Caenorhabditis elegans: one gene and its partners. The protein of the gene in region 1 interacts with the protein of each later gene in a pairwise test. Each region holds a gene or a part of one and is shown in the gene's direction. Other genes may lie near its edges.

The links.
Region 2: the proteins of eftu-2 (region 1) and rpl-19 interact in a two-hybrid assay, tested with the Caenorhabditis elegans proteins (one large-scale study listed by BioGRID).
Region 3: the proteins of eftu-2 (region 1) and tcc-1 interact in a two-hybrid assay, tested with the Caenorhabditis elegans proteins (one large-scale study listed by BioGRID).

The regions. Positions count from the first base shown.
Region 1 is NC_003281.10:6,006,726-6,015,157, forward strand, and holds eftu-2 (Tr-type G domain-containing protein), read left to right. Parts: upstream 1-2,834; 5' UTR 2,835-2,854; coding exon 2,855-3,482; intron 3,483-3,528; coding exon 3,529-3,903; intron 3,904-3,950; coding exon 3,951-5,004; intron 5,005-5,057; coding exon 5,058-5,628; intron 5,629-5,703; coding exon 5,704-6,000; 3' UTR 6,001-6,115; downstream 6,116-8,432. Other genes in the region: gcna-1 (Germ cell nuclear acidic-1 protein), read right to left, coding at 1-150, 406-855, 1,243-1,522, 1,571-1,721, 1,770-2,033, 2,080-2,152, 2,200-2,258; npp-10 (Nuclear pore complex protein Nup98), read right to left, coding at 7,048-7,207, 7,258-7,713, 7,761-8,432.
Region 2 is NC_003279.8:5,482,533-5,488,649, reverse strand, and holds rpl-19 (Large ribosomal subunit protein eL19), read left to right. Parts: upstream 1-2,907; 5' UTR 2,908-2,937; coding exon 2,938-2,942; intron 2,943-3,058; coding exon 3,059-3,269; intron 3,270-3,347; coding exon 3,348-3,598; intron 3,599-3,690; coding exon 3,691-3,820; 3' UTR 3,821-3,871; downstream 3,872-6,117. Other genes in the region: C09D4.3 (Protein kinase domain-containing protein), read right to left, coding at 8-69, 245-254; C09D4.9 (Protein AF-9), read left to right, coding at 492-521, 569-595, 646-714, 868-933, 1,160-1,192; C09D4.6 (Cytochrome b), read left to right, coding at 1,500-1,931; C09D4.4 (DUF676 domain-containing protein), read left to right, coding at 4,007-4,096, 4,137-4,216, 4,263-4,363, 4,406-4,490, 4,540-4,750, 4,950-5,091, 5,139-5,294, 5,376-5,592 and 3 more.
Region 3 is NC_003283.11:17,851,524-17,859,089, reverse strand, and holds the start of tcc-1 (Ribosome-binding protein 1), read left to right. Parts: upstream 1-3,100; 5' UTR 3,101-3,103; coding exon 3,104-3,223; intron 3,224-4,074; coding exon 4,075-4,631; intron 4,632-5,487; coding exon 5,488-6,087; intron 6,088-6,965; coding exon 6,966-7,287; intron 7,288-7,566.

The DNA.
Region 1 (8,432 bases):
GAAAGAATTGGACCAACCGGCTTGGCTTTAGGATCTTCAATACGGATTCGAGTATTCGTTCGGCGGCAATAACGGTAGAGAATGAATCTGCCAAAACATCTTCCGCACGCTTTTCGTGAGGTGTCGAGAGATTTCGATTGACGCTTTATTCTGGAGAAAAATTATATTTTTATGTATTGGAAATTGGAAATTTATCAGATTGACGGTTCTGGTGTTTTGCTTCCCTATAAGACTCTCCTATAAATTCTAGTCGATAAGACTGTGACTATTAATAAATTTTTGTGACAGTTCAAAATCCCGAAAAATAAGGTAAATTTTAAATTATATTATTTTTTGGACGTATTATTTTCGAAAATTATTTTTTAATGAATTATCAGATATATCTAGATAAATTAAAAAACTTACTCTACATCACATCCATCTTTCTCACAAACATAGAAGAACTTTGCCTCAATCTCATAACTATGACATCTTTCAATAAATGGAAGTGACTTGAACACCGAAGAGCATCGAGCTCCCCATCTCTTCCATCCTGGGCCATGACCTTCTTTATGAAGCCTGTCGACCACCCATGTTGCTGCATGACACAGTTCATGGATCAGTGTATCTCGTACTCGTTCAGCAGTTGTACATACTACTGGTGACATTTCGACAGTGCTGTTTCCATTTGAATGATTTCTGCATTGGCCAGCTGATTTTCGAAGGCGTGCGTTCCATATGACTTTCAGCTTTTCCGATGGAATTGCTGAAAAGATTCGGCGAACCAGGATGTCTTGAAGACGTGTGAGAAGGGATTCGCGATGCTTTTTATAACGTAGAGATGTTTCCTTGATATACACCTTGGCATCTTCGTGTCTGGAAAAATATTTTTTAAGCAACTAATCTCTATATTATATTTTTTATAAAATTAATTTTTATTCTGCAAAACTTGTAGGAAAATTATCGAGAGCAAGGGTGTCCTAAAAATTTGTTCGATTTTTTTTTCAGAAAAATCTAAAATCTAAAAATCTTATATCGTTAAAGGAAATTTTTTAGCTTTTCCGGAAAACTGAAATGGGAAAAAATGTTTAGAAAACAAAAAATTCATTTTTAATCGATTTAAGTTGGTTAATCTTGATGATAAAAAAGCATGATTTTTTTTCAAAAAAAAAGGAAATTCGCCACAATTTGACGTTATTTAGAGAAATTGAAATATTGGAAAATGAGCATTTTCGATTTTCGATTTCTCAAAAATTATCTTACATTGGTCCTGAGAACTTCTCACTCAATGACAGAAGAAACCATTCTTCTTCGTCAGTTGGTCGCTTCTTCTGTTTTCTATCAGAATAGCTAATCTTCGCTTCAACTTCTGGACTTGATTCTCGATATTCTTCATCGTCGACATCTTCTTCCTCTTCTTCAGATTCTTCTTCTGAACTTTCTTCGCTTATATAATCATCATCAACTACAAAATCTTTTTTAACTGGAATTTTTCTCTCTGGTTTAGCTGGCTCCGTTGGCTTTTCTCGGAGAGTTTTGAGATCTAAAAAAATTAAAATTAAAACGGAATATTTTTTGGAGCATCGTTTACAGTTTTCAAAGTTTCCATCATCTTCTGAATCGGATGAAATAACTATTTTCTTTGTTCGTTGTTTCTTTTCTTCTTTTTCCTTCGAAGGTTTTCCACACGGAGGAACATTTTCCTTGTCATCATTCTCATAATCTGACAATGACTCCACTTTCTGAACTTTTGAATTTTAAAATATTCAGATTTCAAATATGAACATTACCAATGCTTTTTTGACTTCTTTTGGTTTCTGACGTGGTTTCTGGTTGGAATCAAACATTTCCGGATATAACTGTCGAAGCATATCTCTCTCATCTTCTTTTTCAATTTTCTGAAGTAATCTATCACCAGGAGTCATTGGAGCTTCTCTTGCAATGACTCTTGCAGGCGTTCTATAGGCTGGTGTTGGAGAGCTAACTGACATCATGGATATATTATTTTCTAGAATTGAAATGCTTTCGTCGAGATTTGATATTGGCTCATCTTTCTGAAATTTTAGAATTAGCTCATCATATATGAATTTTACTGCTTGCAATTTCTTTTAAGTTGGATTTGCTATCATTATTAGTTGATCTTCGACTGCTGAAGCTGGAACTCCATGCTGTTCTGCAAAAAATGTTCCTACAATCTTAAAATCCTTCCAAAAAACTTACTCGTACGATGACGCTGAAGCATTACTTTTGTTATGAAGATCTCGAAATGGTGTAGGCATTGAGGAATACAGAAGATTTGCAGAATACGAGAAAAATAATTTTAATCTTTGAAATTTTTGATTGGCGGCAAATTAAGCGCCGTTGGTGCAATTGCGTATTTGTTGCCAGAAATGACGAGCAAAACTTTGAACAAGGTTTATTTGGAGCGCGACTTGCTCGACTTGCTCGAGCAAGTCGTTTTTTTTGAGTAGAAAAATGATATTTTAATTATTTTTCAATTTTTCGTAAAAACATTTGCAAGAATTGACCGATTTTCCAAGAATAATTGAGCTGTTCTGGAAATGTGGATTACTGTAGAAAGTACCACAACTGCGCTCCACTGCAAACGTCGGGGAGCGATTTTCGAAAACGAATTCTTAAGCTGAAAAAATATCTTAAACCACATTTTAGCATATTTCCAAGCGCAAAATGTGTGTTCATAGTTACTTCTTGATTTGTATTTTTTGCTTTTGAATCTTGGCTCTTATATTTGCTCTATATTCTCATTGGGACTCTTTGTTTTAGGCAAATACTCACTTCTCTGTATATTTCTTCTTTTTTACTTTGAAAGTCTTTCATAACCGAATTAATTATTCAGAACTGAACGTCTCGAGCGATGGATTCGGATCTCTACGATGAGTTTGGTAACTATATCGGTCCAGAGCTAGACTCTGACGATGATGCCGGAGATATTGATGACAATGGTGATGATGAAGATCGTAGCGATGTGGATGAGGATGATGAACCAGACAGAATGGAAGAAGATGACGCAGAAGAAATTCCCCAGAATCAAGTTGTTCTTCATGAAGATAAAAAGTACTATGCTACAGCTCTCGAAGTATACGGGGAAGGTGTAGAAACCTTGGTCCAAGAGGAAGACGCTCAGCCACTCACTGAACCAATTGTCAAACCAGTATCCAAGAAGAAGTTTCAAGCCGCTGAGCGTTTTCTCCCGGAAACTGTCTACAAGAAAGAATATTTAGCTGATTTAATGGACTGCCCTCATATCATGAGAAATGTTGCAATCGCTGGTCATCTTCATCACGGAAAGACGACTTTCTTGGATTGTCTTATGGAACAAACTCATCCAGAGTTCTACAGAGCTGAAGACGCAGATGCTCGATTTACTGATATCTTGTTCATTGAGAAGCAGAGAGGATGCTCGATTAAATCTCAGCCAGTGAGCATTGTGGCTCAGGATAGTCGAAGCAAAAGCTATTTGCTCAATATAATTGATACTCCAGGTACCTAAACTATAGTGGTTCATTCGTACAAAATATATTATTTTAGGTCACGTGAACTTTTCGGACGAAATGACTGCTTCATACCGTCTTGCTGATGGAGTTGTTGTGATGGTTGATGCTCATGAAGGTGTTATGATGAACACTGAACGAGCAATTCGCCACGCGATTCAAGAGAGGCTTGCAGTAACATTGTGCATTTCGAAGATCGACCGCTTGCTTCTTGAGTTGAAGCTTCCACCAGCAGATGCTTACTTCAAACTCCGTCTTATCATTGATCAAGTCAATAATATATTGAGCACTTTTGCCGAAGAAGACGTTCCAGTACTCTCTCCACTTAACGGCAACGTTATTTTTTCATCGGGACGATACAATGTCTGCTTTTCTCTATTGTCTTTTTCGAATATCTATGCGAAACAACATGGTAAGAAGCTTACGAAATTAATGTCTTGCACGATTTTTATTTTCCAGGTGACTCCTTCAACTCAAAGGAGTTTGCTCGCCGTCTCTGGGGAGATATTTACTTCGAGAAGAAAACTCGCAAATTCGTAAAGAAGTCGCCGTCCCATGATGCTCCACGTACATTTGTGCAGTTCATTCTCGAGCCAATGTACAAGATCTTTTCGCAAGTCGTCGGAGATGTCGATACTTGCCTTCCTGATGTGATGGCTGAGTTGGGAATTCGTTTGTCAAAAGAAGAACAGAAAATGAATGTCCGTCCATTGATTGCTCTCATCTGTAAACGCTTCTTTGGAGATTTCAGTGCATTTGTTGATTTGGTGGTTCAAAATATCAAATCACCACTTGAAAATGCGAAAACTAAAATCGAGCAGACATATCTTGGACCAGCTGATTCCCAATTGGCTCAAGAAATGCAGAAATGTAATGCTGAAGGACCATTGATGGTTCATACAACAAAGAATTATCCCGTAGATGATGCAACTCAGTTCCATGTATTTGGACGTGTTATGAGCGGAACATTGGAAGCAAATACAGACGTCCGTGTACTTGGAGAGAACTACAGTATTCAAGATGAAGAAGATTGCCGAAGAATGACAGTTGGAAGACTATTTGTGCGTGTTGCCAGTTATCAGATTGAAGTTTCTCGTGTTCCTGCAGGTTGCTGGGTACTTATTGAAGGAATTGATCAGCCAATTGTTAAAACTGCAACCATTGCTGAGTTGGGATACGAGGAAGATGTCTACATTTTCCGTCCTCTCAAATTCAACACTCGCAGTTGCGTGAAACTTGCCGTAGAGCCGATTAATCCATCCGAACTCCCGAAAATGTTGGATGGCTTGAGAAAAGTCAACAAGTCATATCCGTTGCTGACGACTAGAGTTGAAGAATCCGGAGAGCACGTGTTGCTCGGAACTGGAGAATTTTATATGGACTGTGTGATGCACGACATGCGAAAGGTGTTCTCAGAGATTGATATCAAAGTTGCTGATCCAGTTGTCACATTCAACGAGACTGTCATCGAAACGAGTACGCTGAAATGTTTTGCAGAGACTCCCAACAAAAAGTGGGTTTTCATTCAATTTTTTCAAAACAATAATTTTTAATCAATTTTTTCAGAAATAAAATCACAATGATGGCTGAACCTCTAGAAAAACAGTTGGATGAGGACATCGAAAATGAAGTTGTTCAAATCGGATGGAATAGACGGCGTCTTGGAGAGTTCTTCCAGACCAAGTACAACTGGGATCTTTTGGCAGCTCGTTCAATTTGGGCATTTGGCCCTGATACTACAGGACCCAACATTCTTCTAGATGACACATTGCCATCGGAAGTTGACAAACACTTGCTATCAACTGTCAGAGAATCTCTTGTTCAAGGATTCCAATGGGCAACCAGAGAAGGCCCATTGTGTGAGGAACCAATTCGTCAAGTGAAGTTCAAACTTCTCGATGCCGCAATCGCCACAGAACCACTTTATCGAGGTGGAGGTCAGATGATCCCAACTGCACGCCGATGTGCCTATTCTGCATTCCTTATGGCCACGCCAAGATTAATGGAGCCATACTATACAGTGGAAGTTGTTGCACCAGCTGATTGTGTAGCTGCTGTATATACAGTGTTAGCTAAACGACGTGGTCACGTCACCACTGATGCACCAATGCCAGGATCACCTATGTACACTATCAGCGTGAGTTTAAATATAATGTTAAAAGAGAACACACATTAAAATAGTTTTATGATATTCTAAAATTATGATTTTCAGGCGTACATTCCAGTAATGGACTCGTTCGGATTCGAAACTGATCTTCGAATTCACACACAGGGACAAGCATTCTGTATGTCTGCTTTCCATCATTGGCAACTCGTACCAGGAGATCCACTCGATAAATCCATTGTTATCAAGACTCTCGACGTCCAGCCAACTCCACATCTCGCCAGAGAGTTCATGATCAAGACCAGAAGACGCAAGGGTTTGTCTGAAGATGTCTCCGTTAACAAGTTCTTCGATGATCCGATGCTTCTCGAACTTGCAAAGCAGCAAGATTATACTGGATTCTAAATTGCGATTTCCTAACTTATTTTCTCATTGTTTCACACTTTTTATCTTTCAGTGTTCTTTCCCGTTTCATTGAGTTGTTTGATCACAATAGTAAAATGAAAATTCTTGTTTATCTATCTATCAAATGATATTCAGAGCAGGGACCAAAATTGAATTCTCTTAGTTTCGTCAAACAAGCTGAATGTCCGTTGAAGGTATTACTCTTGGACAACTTTTTTGAAAAAAAAAAAACTGAAGATCAACATAAGCCTACGCTTAATTTTAAGTCTAAGCATAAGCTATAACCGAATTGGAGGCCCCACGAAAAGGGGAGCAGAACGAAAAGGGGATCTGCAAAAAGGGGATCTGCGAAAAGGGGAGCAACGAAAAGGGGAGCTGGCACTGTGCCAAACGCACAAAACGCAATTTTTCTCACGCAGCGCACGTTGATTTTTGAAATTTTCTTCTAGAAGATACGCTTAACAACACGCGACGCGTAACATCGGAGCATCGTTGTATCGTTTTCTTCGAGGAAAATAGCGTTTGGCACAGTGCCAGATCCCCTTTTCGTTGCTCCCCTTTTCGTATCTCCCCTTTTCGCAGATCCCCTTTTTGCAGATCCCCTTTTCGTTCTGCTCCCCTTTTCGTGGGGCCTCCCGAATTGCTCTACCTCGTAAAACGAAGCGAACCACTCCAATTAAGAAACGATCATTCCTACTGGCTAAATCCGCCAGACTGAATTATTCAAGAAAACTTTCCATTTATTTAGCAACTTTTATCAAGATGTACTAGATTAACATCATCGCGTGGTCGGAAATTGAATTTTAAATTAAATTCGAGTACTCAATTTATCGTTTTGCTGATTTCTAAATTTCTGTACTAGTTTTCTCATGTGAATAGAACACAACAGTAATAACATCCTACAAAAAGTTCATATTCATAGTAATAAAAAGACGATTCGGGAAATGATGATATACGAGGAAGACAGACGGAGAGGGCAGGAAAATGTAAATAAAAAAAATAAAATTAGAATCAGGTGAAAAATGAATAAATTAAAAAGTGGCTAGTCTAGTCAAATTCAATTGTGAATCTTTCGATTCCCCAAGACGAACGATCACGGAAGATCTTAAACATTTGCCGATGTCCGAGAAGCTTTGTCCACTCTGGAAGTGTATTCTTATCAGCACGGTACTCGAACAAAACACGTCCAATTGTTTGAAGAGAGAGCCTGAAATTATATAAATAGTTTTAAAAAAAACTTATGTCCCAATAGCTTACTTTTGAAGACTGTTCTTGCTGATTGTAGGAGCATGTAGACGAGTTTCCAGACTTTCAAGCACGTCCTGTAAGAGTTCTTCTTCCGCATCATTTTCGATCAAATTGATCAATCGGCAATAATCAGTGTAGACCATTCCAGTCGCACCCCACTCGGGAATCTGATTTTCGAAAGGACGAACCATCGCGCATGCTGCTTTGAGAGCGTCATGATCTCCAGCTACAACTGCAGTTGGTGCAATATCATCCACAAATAAGCGACAAATTTCCAGATAGTTCTTTGCAGCCACAGCCAATTCGAAAAGTTGGGTAGAATCATCGACTGACTTTGCAATTGAGAATTGAGCATCAGCAATCCATTCCGAAGGAATATCGAACTGTTCGGAAATAGAATCAAACATATCATTGTCGGTGAAACGAGCAATACGGTCGAGGAGGGAACGAACTGCTGTTGATCTTCTGGATAAATATATTTATAAATTGAAAGATTCTAAAATTCAACTCACTCTTCATCATCATCAATGTGCTGCAAAACAAACAATGCATATTTTGAGAGACTTGATGCTTCCAATTGAGATGAATAGTTTCTGTGAAGTCTTGTTTCCGAAGTCTTTGACATTGTACGGTATCCAACCGAATAGAGCAAGCTCCATACGTGCCATTGAAGGAAATAATCGTTGGGATTTTCTCCAGCTGCACAGTCAAGTACAACTTCCACTGAGTGCTGTGATTCACATGCCAATTTGATGAGTTCTCCGGGCAGATCTCCACGATTAGAAGCGGCACGGCCAGCATTGACATCTTTCTGATAAGCATCGTAAGATTCTTCTAGACCAGTCCATGCACGAAGATACCAGACATGCAAACCGAGTGCTTGAATCCAATTGAGTCCATCAAGACAGTTGATCGAATGATTCTTTCCGTCTTGATCCCATTCGTAGTGTGATAGTCCTGACATCAGAACATAGCATTTGAGAGTTTCCTTCGGAATCAAATGAAGAGTTTCGCATTTCTTCCAGTTGTCAAGTTGTGCTTTAAAGCAATGAACAGTAGCTTCTGGGCACACAGCAGAAGTCTGAAGCATCGTAGCAAGCTGTGGCTGATTATTATCAATCGCAATTTGAAAAGCTTTATCGATGTCTCCAAGACAGAGTTGATTCCAAACACCATTTGAAGAT
Region 2 (6,117 bases), on another chromosome or scaffold:
ATCGTACATTTTCCTCGGCAACCAATGTTGGAGTGTTGGGAATTTGAACCATGTCGGTTTGATCCAACGCTGAAAATAAGTATTTGAAGAATTGATTAGAAAATGTCCAATGTAAATCTATAGACTATTTTGAATGCTTTAAAGTACAATTCATATTTACAATAGTCCAATATCCGCATCTCAAAAGTTCTAGAAGATTCCAGGAGATTTCTAAAACGTAAATCTCCAGCTGAAAATGACTTACCAGTCGCCATGATGATCACAGTAGAACTTTAATCCTTCGAAAACTGAGTGTGATAAATTCAGTATTGATTTTTTTTCCTAATCTTCAAAGTTCATCTGCCCAAAAAAATTCCAACAAGTGTGACACGGGGGCGGGTCACAAACAAAAACGTGAGATGTTATTATTTTAAGTCTTCTAGAATTCATTCTCCGTTACCGAGAAAACAATTTTTGACGTTGTTGTTTGCATTGATTCTCTTCTGAAAATAATGGGACAAAAGTGGAGTGGAACAGTTTCGGTAAGAATTTTAATATTGGAAATGTTCATTTTATTGTTCTGTTTCAGAAAACACCATCGAATCCAACTGTCTCTGTATGTGTTTTGTTTCAGAAAAATATCTAAAAAACTCAATTTTTGTTCAGAAATCTTCGTCGGCACCATCTTTAAAATCAACGCCGAAATCGGATAGAGAAGACCAAGAAAAGTCTAAGGTAAATCCTCTTCCCCTCAATAGTGGCCGAGTTTTCATTTTCACGGTCACTAATGAACCTTTGCCTAATGTTGCCACGTAACAGAAGTTCAATGAAGTTTTTTTAATCAAAATTTTGATAATGGCATGCTTCCGAAATACTTTTAATTTTCAGAACATGAAGCCATCGTCGTCGAGCAGTAATAGTCACCGGGCAGACCCTCCGAAGCCTAAAGAAGATGTAGGTTCTTATTTTACTGTGATTCACTAGTAGGATACGCTATATATGTTTCAAAATGTTTCGTGTATGCTCCTTTAAGATTACTGTAGGAAATTTCCAGGAAATTTCCAGTTACTTATTTTAAAAAAACTATCTTCTGTCTACAGTAATCTTAAAGGTGCATACCCACAAAATTACACTTCGCGTGGCGAGACCCATCCGCAGGAATATAATGTTTTACTTTCAGAATGTGTATGAGAATCTCAGCTACAAAGGTTAAAACCAACATGAAGATCTTTTCGTACATTTGTCCGATTGACTTTTTAAAATTATTTTTAATTTCAATAAATAGTTTTGAAGTCAAATTTGTTTTTCTATTTTTTTTTCACTCGAGATTAATGATCAACGACAAGTTTTGAATTTTCTGACATCTCCTTGGACACTTTCTGAATCTCTACGACTACCCGATGCCCGTTGAGAGGGAGCGATAAGTATGTCTTTCTAATTTTAGGGTTTCAAGATGTATTGGCTTTTTTTCTAAAAATTTCTGACACTTCTGGCTGAATTCTACAAAAAAATTTCACACGATGCCTATTATTTCATTTGCCACTGGATATATGTACTTGATATTCGGGTCATTTAAAGTTTTCAAAAATATTGGAATTTCGACGATGGAGTCGTATACTTTCAGTTTAATTCTCACAATTTTTATGTTTTTACATATTGAACGAATCGCGAGATCAACGTTTGGAAATGTAATTTGTCCAAGAAGTTTTGCTCTGCAAATGGTTCTAACACATTTCTCAATGATAATTGTCATTATTGTAATTGTTGGAATTGTATGGATCGCCCCTAGCACTGTACGTGATATTTCAATCCTTTTCCTAGATTTTACTATTTCAGATCACCCAAATCGTATCGTTTCTACTTTTTGCATTTTTCGGGTATCTTTTAAACATTGGTCCAGGAACATTCCCAACTTTCTCGGTGGCGGACCCATTTTACTGGAATCAGAATAGAGCAATTTCTCCTTCGTACGATAGAGCCTTCAAAACAGTTATGCTATGTGGTATCTCTTTCAGTTTCGTAGGTTTCCTCACAATCTGTAGTCTGAAATATTATCACAGGCGCACCTTGATTTTTTCTGGTATTCAATAGCATCAAGTTGTTTAATAATGTTTGATGTCATTTTAATGGCACACTATTGGGAAATTTTCGGTCCAGATGATCCGGGAGAAGAACCAAGGATTGATCATGTGGATAATTTGCATATGGATTGATAACTCTCGTACCTTAATCATTCTAAATTTTGAGAAACTTCCTCACAATAAAATAAAGCATCGAAAAATAAAGTTGTTGTGTTTCAAAATTTCGTAATTTTTCACAATGTTTTGAAACACACCTCAAAATAGTGCTATTCGGAATACTTTCATTCGTTCTGACTATCGCGTTGAACTAAAATTGTGAGTTTCTTTTTATCTAATACCTATGATTTTTAACAAATTCTGAAGAACTTATCAACAATTGTCTTTAACCAACAACTTATAAATACCACTAACTAAATTTTTCAGATTTTGTAAGAGAAATCTCTAAAATACATGTGTTAAATAAATGTCCAAAAAATATGAAACAATAAAATATGCAATACCCCCGAAAATTTTATTCAAAATATCAACACAATTGTTTGCTGAAGATGCGATGAAAAGAAAACGACACAGCTGAAACGAGTGTTACCGTAGTCATGCGCCTTTGACGCGCTCAGGTCTCGTAGTGAAACGAGGAAATAGCAGTTTTTCTCTTCAATTCCTAAACTTCTTTTCGATTTTTCAAGCCTTGGAATGATTTTTTTGCCTAATTTTTGATGTACAAAATTAGAAAATGATAGCTTTCAAATTTCCATTAAGCAAAAATTTTGATTCTCTGAAGGGTGTCGCTAATTTTTGTTGTTTTCGTGAAAATTTCTTTATTTGTGTACTTTATATTAATTTTTTACAGGAAACTCCAAATACTGGGTAGCAAGACGAAATGAGGTGAGTTTTTTAAATCATTTCCAATTGAAAGATCAGTCCAAGCGTCTTTTGAAGATATGACTTTCGTTTAATTGAGAATTGTGCAAAATTTGCATTTTTAATTATTGATTTTTCAGCAATCTCCGTCTGCAGAAACGTTTGGCTTCGGCCGTATTGAAGTGCGGAAAGCACCGTGTCTGGCTCGACCCCAATGAGGTCAGCGAGATTTCTGGAGCCAACTCCCGTCAAAGCATCCGCAGACTCGTCAATGACGGACTTATCATCCGCAAGCCAGTCACTGTCCACTCCCGCTTCCGCGCACGCGAGTACGAGGAGGCCCGCAGAAAGGTACATTTTTCTTTTAATTGATGCTGTCGATTTTTTAAAAGTTACATTTTAAGTTAAAAAAAAATATTTGGAATTTAGGGACGTCACACCGGTTACGGAAAGCGTCGTGGTACTGCCAATGCTCGTATGCCAGAAAAGACCCTCTGGATCCGACGCATGCGTGTCCTCAGAAACCTTCTGAGAAGATACAGAGATGCCAAGAAGTTGGACAAGCACCTTTACCACGAGCTCTACCTTCGCGCAAAGGGAAACAACTTCAAGAACAAGAAGAATCTCATCGAGTACATCTTCAAGAAGAAGACTGAGAACAAGAGAGCCAAGCAACTTGCGTAAGTTTTACTATTTTTAAATGATTTGTTTTTCCAAATTATTGAGAAGTCTTTCAATCAATTATTCATATTAAAATTCCTGATGATTTCAGTGACCAAGCTCAAGCCAGACGTGACAAGAACAAGGAGAGCCGCAAGCGCCGTGAGGAGAGACAAGTCGTCAAGCGTGCTGAGCTTCTCAGAAAAATTTCCCAGAGCGAGAAGGTTATCGCTGGAAAGTAAAACTTTGTTGTTTTCCTCTATAATGTCAATAAAGTTATTTGTTGAACTCTTTATAATCTGTTATTCTGCAGTTTTGGTAACCTTCTAACACTGTAACATTTTTCAGTCTCTCATGATACTTGGGTTAACCCTAATTAGGGATTGAATAGCTTGGAATCAATAATTCTTCAGGCGGGAGCGAGTAGAATGCGAATTGAAGCTCACCAGGTATTCAATGTGAGTATTCAATTATGCGAGTTCTTCAACGTCGACTTGTCTGATCGGGGTTATTACCAGGTTTTTAAAAACCACAAATCATCGCTTACGTTCAGTTCAGATTCGACTGAGGCCACGAAAAACAGCGGAAATTGGATCAGTAGACATATCACACGATACGGAAGGGGACCGGGATACTGGGTCCGTCGATTATTGATTTGTTCACTGGAATATTCTCTAATTTCAGGCCTAAAACATCGAGTAATATTCTTTTAGCACATGTCTATCAAGGAGCGGCTGTCAGTAAAACAGTTGAAGTAACTTATCAACATGAAAAATTCAATTTAGGTAATAAAATCATCGAAACACCTTTTTTTATCTTACTTTCAGATGATTGGTTCCATATTTCGGTGCAATTCAATTCGACATTGAACTTGTGTGAGCCTCAAAAATTAGAAATTGAAATTGAATTATTGTAAGACAGTCCAACAATTGATTAAACATAAAATCATGAATTAATATAGATACATGGACCGTTATCATCCTCCACAATATGAATCCTTCGTGAAAATCACAAAAAGAATTGTCGAAATTCCTCTGGATCCAACACGACTCGTCGCCGCCGCTCGTTCTTTATATTTTGACAGTACCTACCTATCTGCGATAACTATGAGTGTTTTTAGTAGTTTAGTTATGGTAGCCACGCGGCAACGGAAGGCAAATGCATCAGAATCGGTAAGAATATTCGAGCTTTTTGCGAAAAAATTTGAATGTTTTGGAAAATTTTGAAAAAAGAAACACCTAGGTTTTTCGTTGTGTTTTTTGAATTTTGAGCAGTTCTCAAATACGGAAAACGATCAAATCTTAAAATTTTGCTTGAATAAATATAAAAAATAGCTTGATGTTTAAAAATCTGATCAAACTGTTGCGTCAGTTATTACAGGCATCATCTACAAAAAGCACAAAACTCCGACGAGTTTATAACTCATCTGCACATGCTTTATTATTCGCAACTCGATCTATTCAACAGTTCATCGTCAATAATTCACGGCTCATTAATGCATCGGTTTCAGTTGGTATGAAACAAAAAAAAGTTAATTAATTCGAAAGCATTATTTTACAGTTGTTCTGGATGTACAAACAGAGATGAAAGCGGCTCTTCAACAATTCGATAGCTCAGATCATCCGACAAGATGTGTTGAGACCGATGTATGCGAATGGAGCACTAAAATTACCCTAATATATCAACAAATGTTGATTCTTTTTCGAAAATCAAAAGGTTTGTGTAATTCCTGTAAGAATTTAATCCGAAATTGTCTTTTTTTTTAAACTTGAACGGAATCGGAATCGATTTTTTCAGAGCTCAATCAACAACTGCTTCTCATTTTCGATAAACAACGTCGTGCAGTATTTCGTGAGGCATTTTGGATAAATGAACGACCAATCGATAAATGTTTAATAAGAACACCAGTATCGGTTCTCGAACATTATAAATCTATTATCAAGGTGGATTATTTGAGGAAGCTTCCACGCTGCACAATTTTCTGCGAAGAAACTGATTGTCCTGGAGAATTTTGGTAAATAATATTGATTTTATAAATATTCTCACAAAACAAGAAATTATTTCAGCCCGATTATCTTTGAAGATGTTTTTACTCGAAATTCTGTTGGATTGTTAGATTTGAATAATGCCAATAGGCAGGTCTGTTTCTTATAAAAATTTTGTTTTTGCTGTGTTCAACACAATTTTTTGCAAAAGTCGATATTATTAAAAAATTTTAAATTCAGGTTACCATTCCAAATAGTGCATCGATGCCGGTTGTGAAAGCCCATGAAAAACACAAATCATTCCGCGAAAAGCTACGTAACGAGACTAGAAAGTTGATTCATCCTCGACGTAAAAGTTTGGATTGCTCACAGTCTCTGTCTCGGAAACTGGTATGTTTTCTATTAAGAAAATGACAAATTATGAAAGAAAGTTGAAGGATGGAGGAGTAACTTCACGAAGCCGCACCAAGACACTGAAAGAAACCACGTCGACAGATGGAGGTGGTGGTCTACTGTTGAAAAATATTCCAAATTCGCAGGAAAATAATTTCTCT
Region 3 (7,566 bases), on another chromosome or scaffold:
ACAGTTTTTGGCAAAAATACGCCGGAATTGCAGGAAATTCCCGGTTTTTTCAGCTTTCCATTGGATTTTTTGCCGGATTTTCAGATAATTCAAGCTGTATTTTCAGCGATTTTTTCGAAATTGCCACCTTTTTTCCAGATTTTAAGGTTTTTTCTGAGGTTTTTGCAATTTTCTCGCAATTTCTTGGATTTCTGTCGATGTGCCAGCGTTTTCCTTCGAATTTGCACGATTTTGTCGATTTTTAGAGATTTTTCTCCAATTTTCAGCGTTTTTCATTGGTTTTTGAGAAAATCCTGCTATTTTTAATGATTTTTCAGTTGTTTCAGCAGATTTTAGGATTTTCCAGCGACTTTAACTGAATTTTCGCTCGATTATTGGCATTTTGAAGCTTTTCCTTCCGATTTGGCACTTTTTTCGGCGATTTCTCGAAAATTCGCCCATTTTCGCAAAAGTTCAAGGTTTTCCGGGCATTTTCTCAAGTTTCTCCGATTTATCTGTGAAATCTGCTCTGAAAACCAGAAATGAGCACAAAAACTCGATTTTCATATTTTCGAAGTAGTTTCTTCCGATTTGGCACATTTTTCCGGGGATTTTCTCAAAAATTCCCACATTTTCCAATGTTTTTTCGAAGTTTTGAAATTTCCCGCTTTGAAAATCCAGAAATAAGCCCAAAAGGAGCTCCACGGAGCCCGGTTTCATCAGAAAATTCGAAAATCAGCTGAAAAAAGGTCAGAATTTCAGTAAAACGCTCTATGGAGCCCGAGTATTTGCTCATTAAACGCTTCTGAATAAACAAATAAACATGAAGACGTAAAGCCAGACGGAGCTCCAACACGCACGGAGCAACTAATTTCGTTTGCAGTTCTTCTTCTTCTTCTTCACAAAAGACGCAGACACTTGCACACTGAAGACACAAGAGACACCAGACACTCTGTCCGTTCTCTGAGTCTCTGTGGCTTCCCGTGATCTCTCGTTGGCGCCCAGCGCCTGTCATTGGCGCTGCCCACGAATAGATAGTGTACGTGGAGTGGAGAGTCACCAGACAGAGCAATAGGGAATGTCCAGAAGCATCGGGAGGGATGAGAGGACGTGGCTGCAGTGCCCCCTGTTTCTCTGTGTCTCTGCGGTATTTCCCGTACTTTTTTTGGGGGGTTTCTTCTCCTTTGCAGCAGATCCCGAAATTCCTCGAATTTCGCATTTCCGCCGCCGCCCACTTTTTTCCAGCTTTTCCAGCAGCGATCTGGAATTTTTGAAGCTTTGACGTCCGTATTTTGAGATTTTGTTCCAAGAAATTTAGTTTTTTGAACTGAAAATCGAGGAAATCGACCGGTTTTGGGCCAGGTTTCTCTGAAAATTGGTGCCTAACCAGGGTTTCTAACTGACTTTAATGTTGCCCAGTTTTGGGATTTTTTTGGTCGGTAAAACCAAATTTTTTTTCCTAGAAAATTAATCTTATGGAAAAAAAAAACTGGATTTTACCTGAAATTTTCGAATTTACTGACTGTTTTAGTCTATTTTTTCGAGTGTTTCAAAGCAAAATTCCCACTGACACCGCCGGTAGGCAGGCAAGGCTTCAGAGAATGATGCCTGCCTGAAATCTGCCTGCCTTTCGCCTCTTTGCTGCATTTTGACATGAGTTTTCAAATTTTCTCATTTCTATCAATTTGTTAAAAAATCAAATTACACGTAACACGTATTGAGGCGAGAGTCAGGCGGAGTCGGTCGCCTCAAAGACAGGCAGGTAGGCCTACGTTCAAGGCCTACACACCAGGGGTGCCAGGCTGCCCATTTCGGTTTGATCTACACAAAAATGCGGGAGAGTTTGAGACGCGAGTTTTCAACCGATTTTGCATGGTTAAGAACGTGCTGACGTCACATTTTTTGTTGGGCAAAAAATTCCCGCATTTTTTGTAGATCAAACCGTAATGGGACAACCTGGGGACCACGTGGGCCTACAGAAGTGTGTTCCTAAACGACAAAAAGCCTACAATTTCTCTTCCTATTAGGTTTCTCAAGTATCAAAGTTTTTCATTGATTAACACAGGGATACACCCCCTCTCTTGATGATTTTCTATTTGACCTCGATATTTCGGAATTTCGGGTGTACTTTGTCGTTCCCCGCGCGCGGGCTGCGAAAACTTTTTTTTTAATATAAAAGTTGTCTCCACCGCGGCCCGCGCAATTGTCTTTACCCCAACGGAAATGCAATTATTATTGTCATTTTTATCACCACCATTTCAACTTTGCCGATCTCTGTGTGAAATTCTCAGTTGCCGTCCCCGAAAGTAAAGAAAAGTGCTCGAAATGCCACTTTTTTTTTTTTGGAAGAATTTTCAACTTTGAAATGGATTTTCCCGAAAAACTGGCATCTCAGCGAAGAAATTTCTCGGTTGTAGTGGAATTTTCTACTCAAAAACTCGATTTTTTTTTATTAAAAAATTCAAATTTCGAGGTATTTTAGTGGAATTTTCTATTGAAAACTCAATTTTTCACATTAAATCCCATATTTTTTCTTGGAAATTATCGATATTCAGCTTTAAAAATATGTGAAAAGTTGAAAAATGACTCCTTTGTCGATTTACGCAGCTCTTGTGTACTTCTCGAGGAGAAGAGAAGATTTGTACAGTTATAGTAAAAATGCGGCATTTTTGGATATTTTTACTAAAATTGTAACTCTTCTCCACGAGGAGTACACAAGAGCCGCGTAAATCGACACAGGAGTCATTTTTCAACTTTTCAGATATTTTAAAGCTGAAATATCGATAATTTTCAGAGAAGAAACATAGAAAATTCCACTAAAAACGAGAAATCCATTGAAAATAGCTCGAAATTCGGAATTTTTAATCGAAAAAAACGAGTTTTTGAGTAAAAAATCTCTATGAAAATGTGGGAAATTTGATATTTTCGAAATAAAATCGATTTTTCAGGGTTTTACACTGAAAAAGTGCCATTTTTTTCGAAAATTTCGAATTTTACACGTTTTCATAGAGATTTTTTACTCAAAAACTCGATTTTTTCGATTAAAAATTCCGAATTTCGATAATTTCTCCATTTTCCCACTTTTTTCTATAAAATTTCTAAAAATGCTAAATAATTTCAGCCAATGGACTCGTCATTCGTCGATCCATCAACAGCTCTCGGCATTCTCGGTGGTGTTGGTGTATTTGTGTTTGCAATTTATTATATGATATTCATGAATCGACAAGAGGATAATTTTGACAAGGTTCGGAACGATTTTCGTGGAAAAATTGAGATTTTTCACACGAATTCTGATCAGAAGAGTGAAATTTCAAGAGATTATCGACTTTTTTCGCTTAACAACCGGATTTTCCTTGACCTAAAATTGGCCTAAAACTTTTTTTTCCCCGCGAAAAAACCAGGAAAACTAAATTTTTACGAGAAAAGTGGATATTTTTCAGAGAATTCTGACTGAAAAGGCAATTTTCCTCGGATTTTCTCATCAAATTGACTGAAAATCTGCGAAAAATACCTTTTTGTGCCTGAAAATTGTTGAAAAAAATTAATTTTTATCAGAAAAACGGCATTTTCAGCAAACTTTTATTCTAAAAAAGACGATTTTTAACGAGGAATTCGATATTTTTTCCGAGAATTTTGACTTGAAATGAGCAAAATTGCTCTTTTTCACTTAAAAAAAACAATTTTCCTATCAAAAATTGGATTTTTATCGAAGTTTTCCCAAAAAAAGAAGGTTTTCGGTTCAAAATTGGCTTCTTTCGGTTTTTTAAGGCAAAAATGAACAAATTCAGGCCAAAAATGCCAATTTTCAGGTGTAAATTTAAAATTTCAACACAAAAATCGTCTTTTTGTTTTTTTCGATGAAATCTTCGCTGAAATTCGGTTTTCCTGATAAAAATTGGTTTAAAAAATGGGAATTTAGGCACAAAAATGTCGTTTTTTGGGGGAAATTCTGAATAAAATACGATTATATTTTCAAAAAAAAAAAACAAATATTCCAAGGAATTTCTCCAAAAAGAAGGATTTTTGTGTGCTGAAAATTGGCATTTTCAGTCAAAAAAAAAACTGTAAAAATCTATAAATTTTTCAAATTTTCAGGCTTACAACCGCGACGCATTGGCTCTTTTGACTGACAACAACGAGAAGAAGAAACAGCCAAAAAATAAGACAAAGAAGCAACAGCAAACGGGCAAAAAAGCACAAGATGCCGCTCCAGCTCCGGCTTCAGCTGCTCCAGCTGCTCCAAATGCTCCAACTCCAACGGCTCAGCAACAACCATCACCAAAAGCTTCTGCTGCTCCAATTCCAGAAAAACCGGAAATTCAAGTCCAAAAAGTGGAATCTACTCAGGCTTCTGCTCCAATTCCAGCTCCAGCAGCTCCAACAACTCAAAAATCGTCTCCAAAAGAGCGAAAATCGGTGAATTTGAAGGATTTGGATCAGAAAAAGGTGCTCAACAAGCTCTCCGGACTCCCAGAACTCGATGAAGCTTATATTCAATTCTTGGCTGGAGCATTCCGTGATTCTGATGCTCAGAAGAATAATTTGAGTCTGGAAGTTAAGGCTTTGAACAAGAAGATGACGGAATCTGCTGTGAAAATTGAGAAATTGAATAAAGAAAAGATGGCTGTGGAACAACGCGAGAAACACGAGCAGTATGTCGATTTTTTACGCGGAAAATTGAGAAAAATCGTGAAAATTGATGAAAATTGGTCTAAAAATGATAATTTTGTGCGAAAATTCAAGAATTTCGATGGAAAACGTGGAAAAATCACGAAATTTCATGAAAATTGGGCCAAGAATGATATTTTTTCGTCCGAAATTTAAAAATTCTGAACTAAAATTGCTGACCACGCATTTCTGACAAAAAAAGAGGCAATTTTCTCCAAAATTTGATGAAAAATCGTTTTCTCAGTCGAAATGCACCATAATTTAGTCAATTTTGACGGAAATTAGGCAAAATCGATTGAAAATTTCCAATTTCCCGCCGAAATTTGACTTTTCGACGATTTTTCGTTAGCAAACAGCTGAAAAACGACATTTTGGCCGTGAAAATTGTAGAATTTTGTTTTAAAAATTACTATTTTCAGCCTAAATTGTTGTACAACGGTAAAAACCCTAATTTATTCAAAAATTTAACTTTTCTGTCTTGAAAATCGGGCTGAGAACCGACAGTTTTACGCAAAAAAATGCTCCAAATTTGTGAAAAATCCCTAAAAACTTCTTAAAATTGAGCTCAAAGAGTCCGAGCAGGCATTCCTTTCAAAAAACGGTGAATTTTAAGAAATTCGCCAAAAATTACAAATTCCAGCAAAAAATTCAACTTTTGGTCTTAAAAATCGGCTAAAAAAACGCTGAAATTGCTGGAAAAATTTTCAATTTTCCGCTTAAAATCTCTCTAAAAACCTGCAATTTTTCAGTGCTCAACGCCAAAAAAAGCTCTAAAAATGTGAAAAAACCCAAAAAATTGCACTTTTGAGCCTAAAATCCGAATTTTCTCCTGTTTTTCAGAGCTCAACGCCAACAACTCTTGCAAAAAGTGGCTCAAAATCAGGCTCACGAATCAGAATTGGCTCGTCAAATTCAGGGAATTGAAGGAAAACTTCGTGTGAAAGAGCAAGAACTTGTTGCCGCAGGAAAAGCTGTCAAAAATAATGAAGAGCATGAGAAAGAGCTGAAGCTGTTGAGAAGCACGAATTCGAGTTTTTCAACAGAGCTGAAGACGATTCGAAAGGAACATGAAGCTCAGTTACAGAAGAAACAAGAAGAATGGAAGAAGCTACATGAGCAGTTGGAGCAAGAAAAGGAGAAGCTTATTTCGGAAAAAGAGCACGCAAAACAGACACATTTGAAGCTGGCGGCAGCTGTTGAAAATGTTGAAGCTGAACTTGAAAAGCAAGGAAAAGAATGGATTCAATTGAGCACACACAATCAAACATTGAAACAACACAATTTAGAGTTGGAAGCTGCTCTTTCAGTGGCAAAAGCTCGAGATCAAGACGGAGAAGCTCAGAAATGGACGATGGAAAAAGCTCAGATGATTGAGAATTATACGCGATTGGAGGCACTTATCGGGGAGCTCAATCGAGATATTTCAGAGTTTCACGAATAGTGAGTAGATGAACAATTTTCGAGGAAAATCTGAAAATTTTCAGAAAAACGGAAATTTATGTTAAAATCGAGAAAACAGGCAATTTTTGCGCTGAAAAACCGAAAATTTCGAGTTTTTCCACCCTATTTTTGGTCTAGAATCGGTCAAAAATGAGCAGCAAAGTCATGAAAAAACTGAATAATTTGAAAAAAAAATGCACGTTTTGACCAATATTTCACTGATTTTTACCTAAAAACTGCTGAAAAGGAGACAATTTTGGAGAAAATGTGAGAAAAAGCTCGAAATTCTACTCGATTATAGGAAACAGGCAATTTTAGTGCTGAAAATTTGAAAATTTTGTAATTTCTAACGGAAAGTGCTGATTTTCCCTTAAAAATCTATAAAATTGTGCTTTTTTGCAAAAAAATTCGTTTTTTCACTCAAAAATGGGCAATTTCAGTCGGAAATTGATTAATTTTGCTTTAAAAAAACTCGAGAAAAACTCAAATTTCCATTGAAAGCCAAAACTCGAAGAAAATCGACAAAAATGGCCGGATTTTTCTCAAATTTCGCCAAAAAAAAAGGCCAAATTTCTGTGGAAAATTGGCGATTTTCCACTATAAAATTGAAAAAATCGCAGAATTTCACCTGAAAAACTTTTTTTTTAACCAAAAATCCACGAAAAACCCGATTTTTTCCGTAAATTCTGGGAAAATCAACGGATTTCAATTGAAATGCATTTTTTTTTTCGATCAAAAACGATTTTTTTTTGAGCTGGAAAGGTGAAATATTGAGAAATTATCATTTTTTACCCGGAAAAAGGCAAAAAAGGCAAATTTTAAATTAAAAAAAAACTAAAAATCCAAGGAAAAACGCTCAAATTCTCGTAATTTTGCAGCAAAAAGCAACAAGAAGTGATTGTGAATGAGCTCAATCATCGTGAAAAAGCTCATTTGGATACAATTGAGCAACTCCGTGAGCAAATTTCCATCGAAAAGAGCAAATTGGCAGAGCTTCAAGTGGTTTTGGACGCGGAAAAGTCGAAAATTGTCGAAATTCCGTTGAATCAGCCACTGGTGGTTGAGGAGGTTATTGAGCTTAAAAAGACGAATGCTAATTTGGCAGCTGCTGCTCCGAGTACTTCTTCTGGAGCTTCAAAAGAAGACGAGGAAACTGAGAAGCTTAAAGCTGAAAATGCCCAGTTGCACGAGAAAAATGAGGTAGAAATATTGGATTTCTCGCCTTTTTTTTAGTGTGGAACATTGATTTTTTCGTGGAAATCTACCTAAAATTGTAGTTTTCAGCTGAAAATTTGGATTTTTCGTGAAAATTGGCTTGAAATTGCAATTTTCAACGTGAATTTCGGATGTTCAGCTGAAATTCCCAATAAAATTCGGAAATTATCAGAATTTCCTTTAAAATTGGCTCAAAACATTAGTTTTCAGTGAAGAAATAACATTTTTAGCTAAAAATCACTAAAAATTCGAATTTTTCTGAAT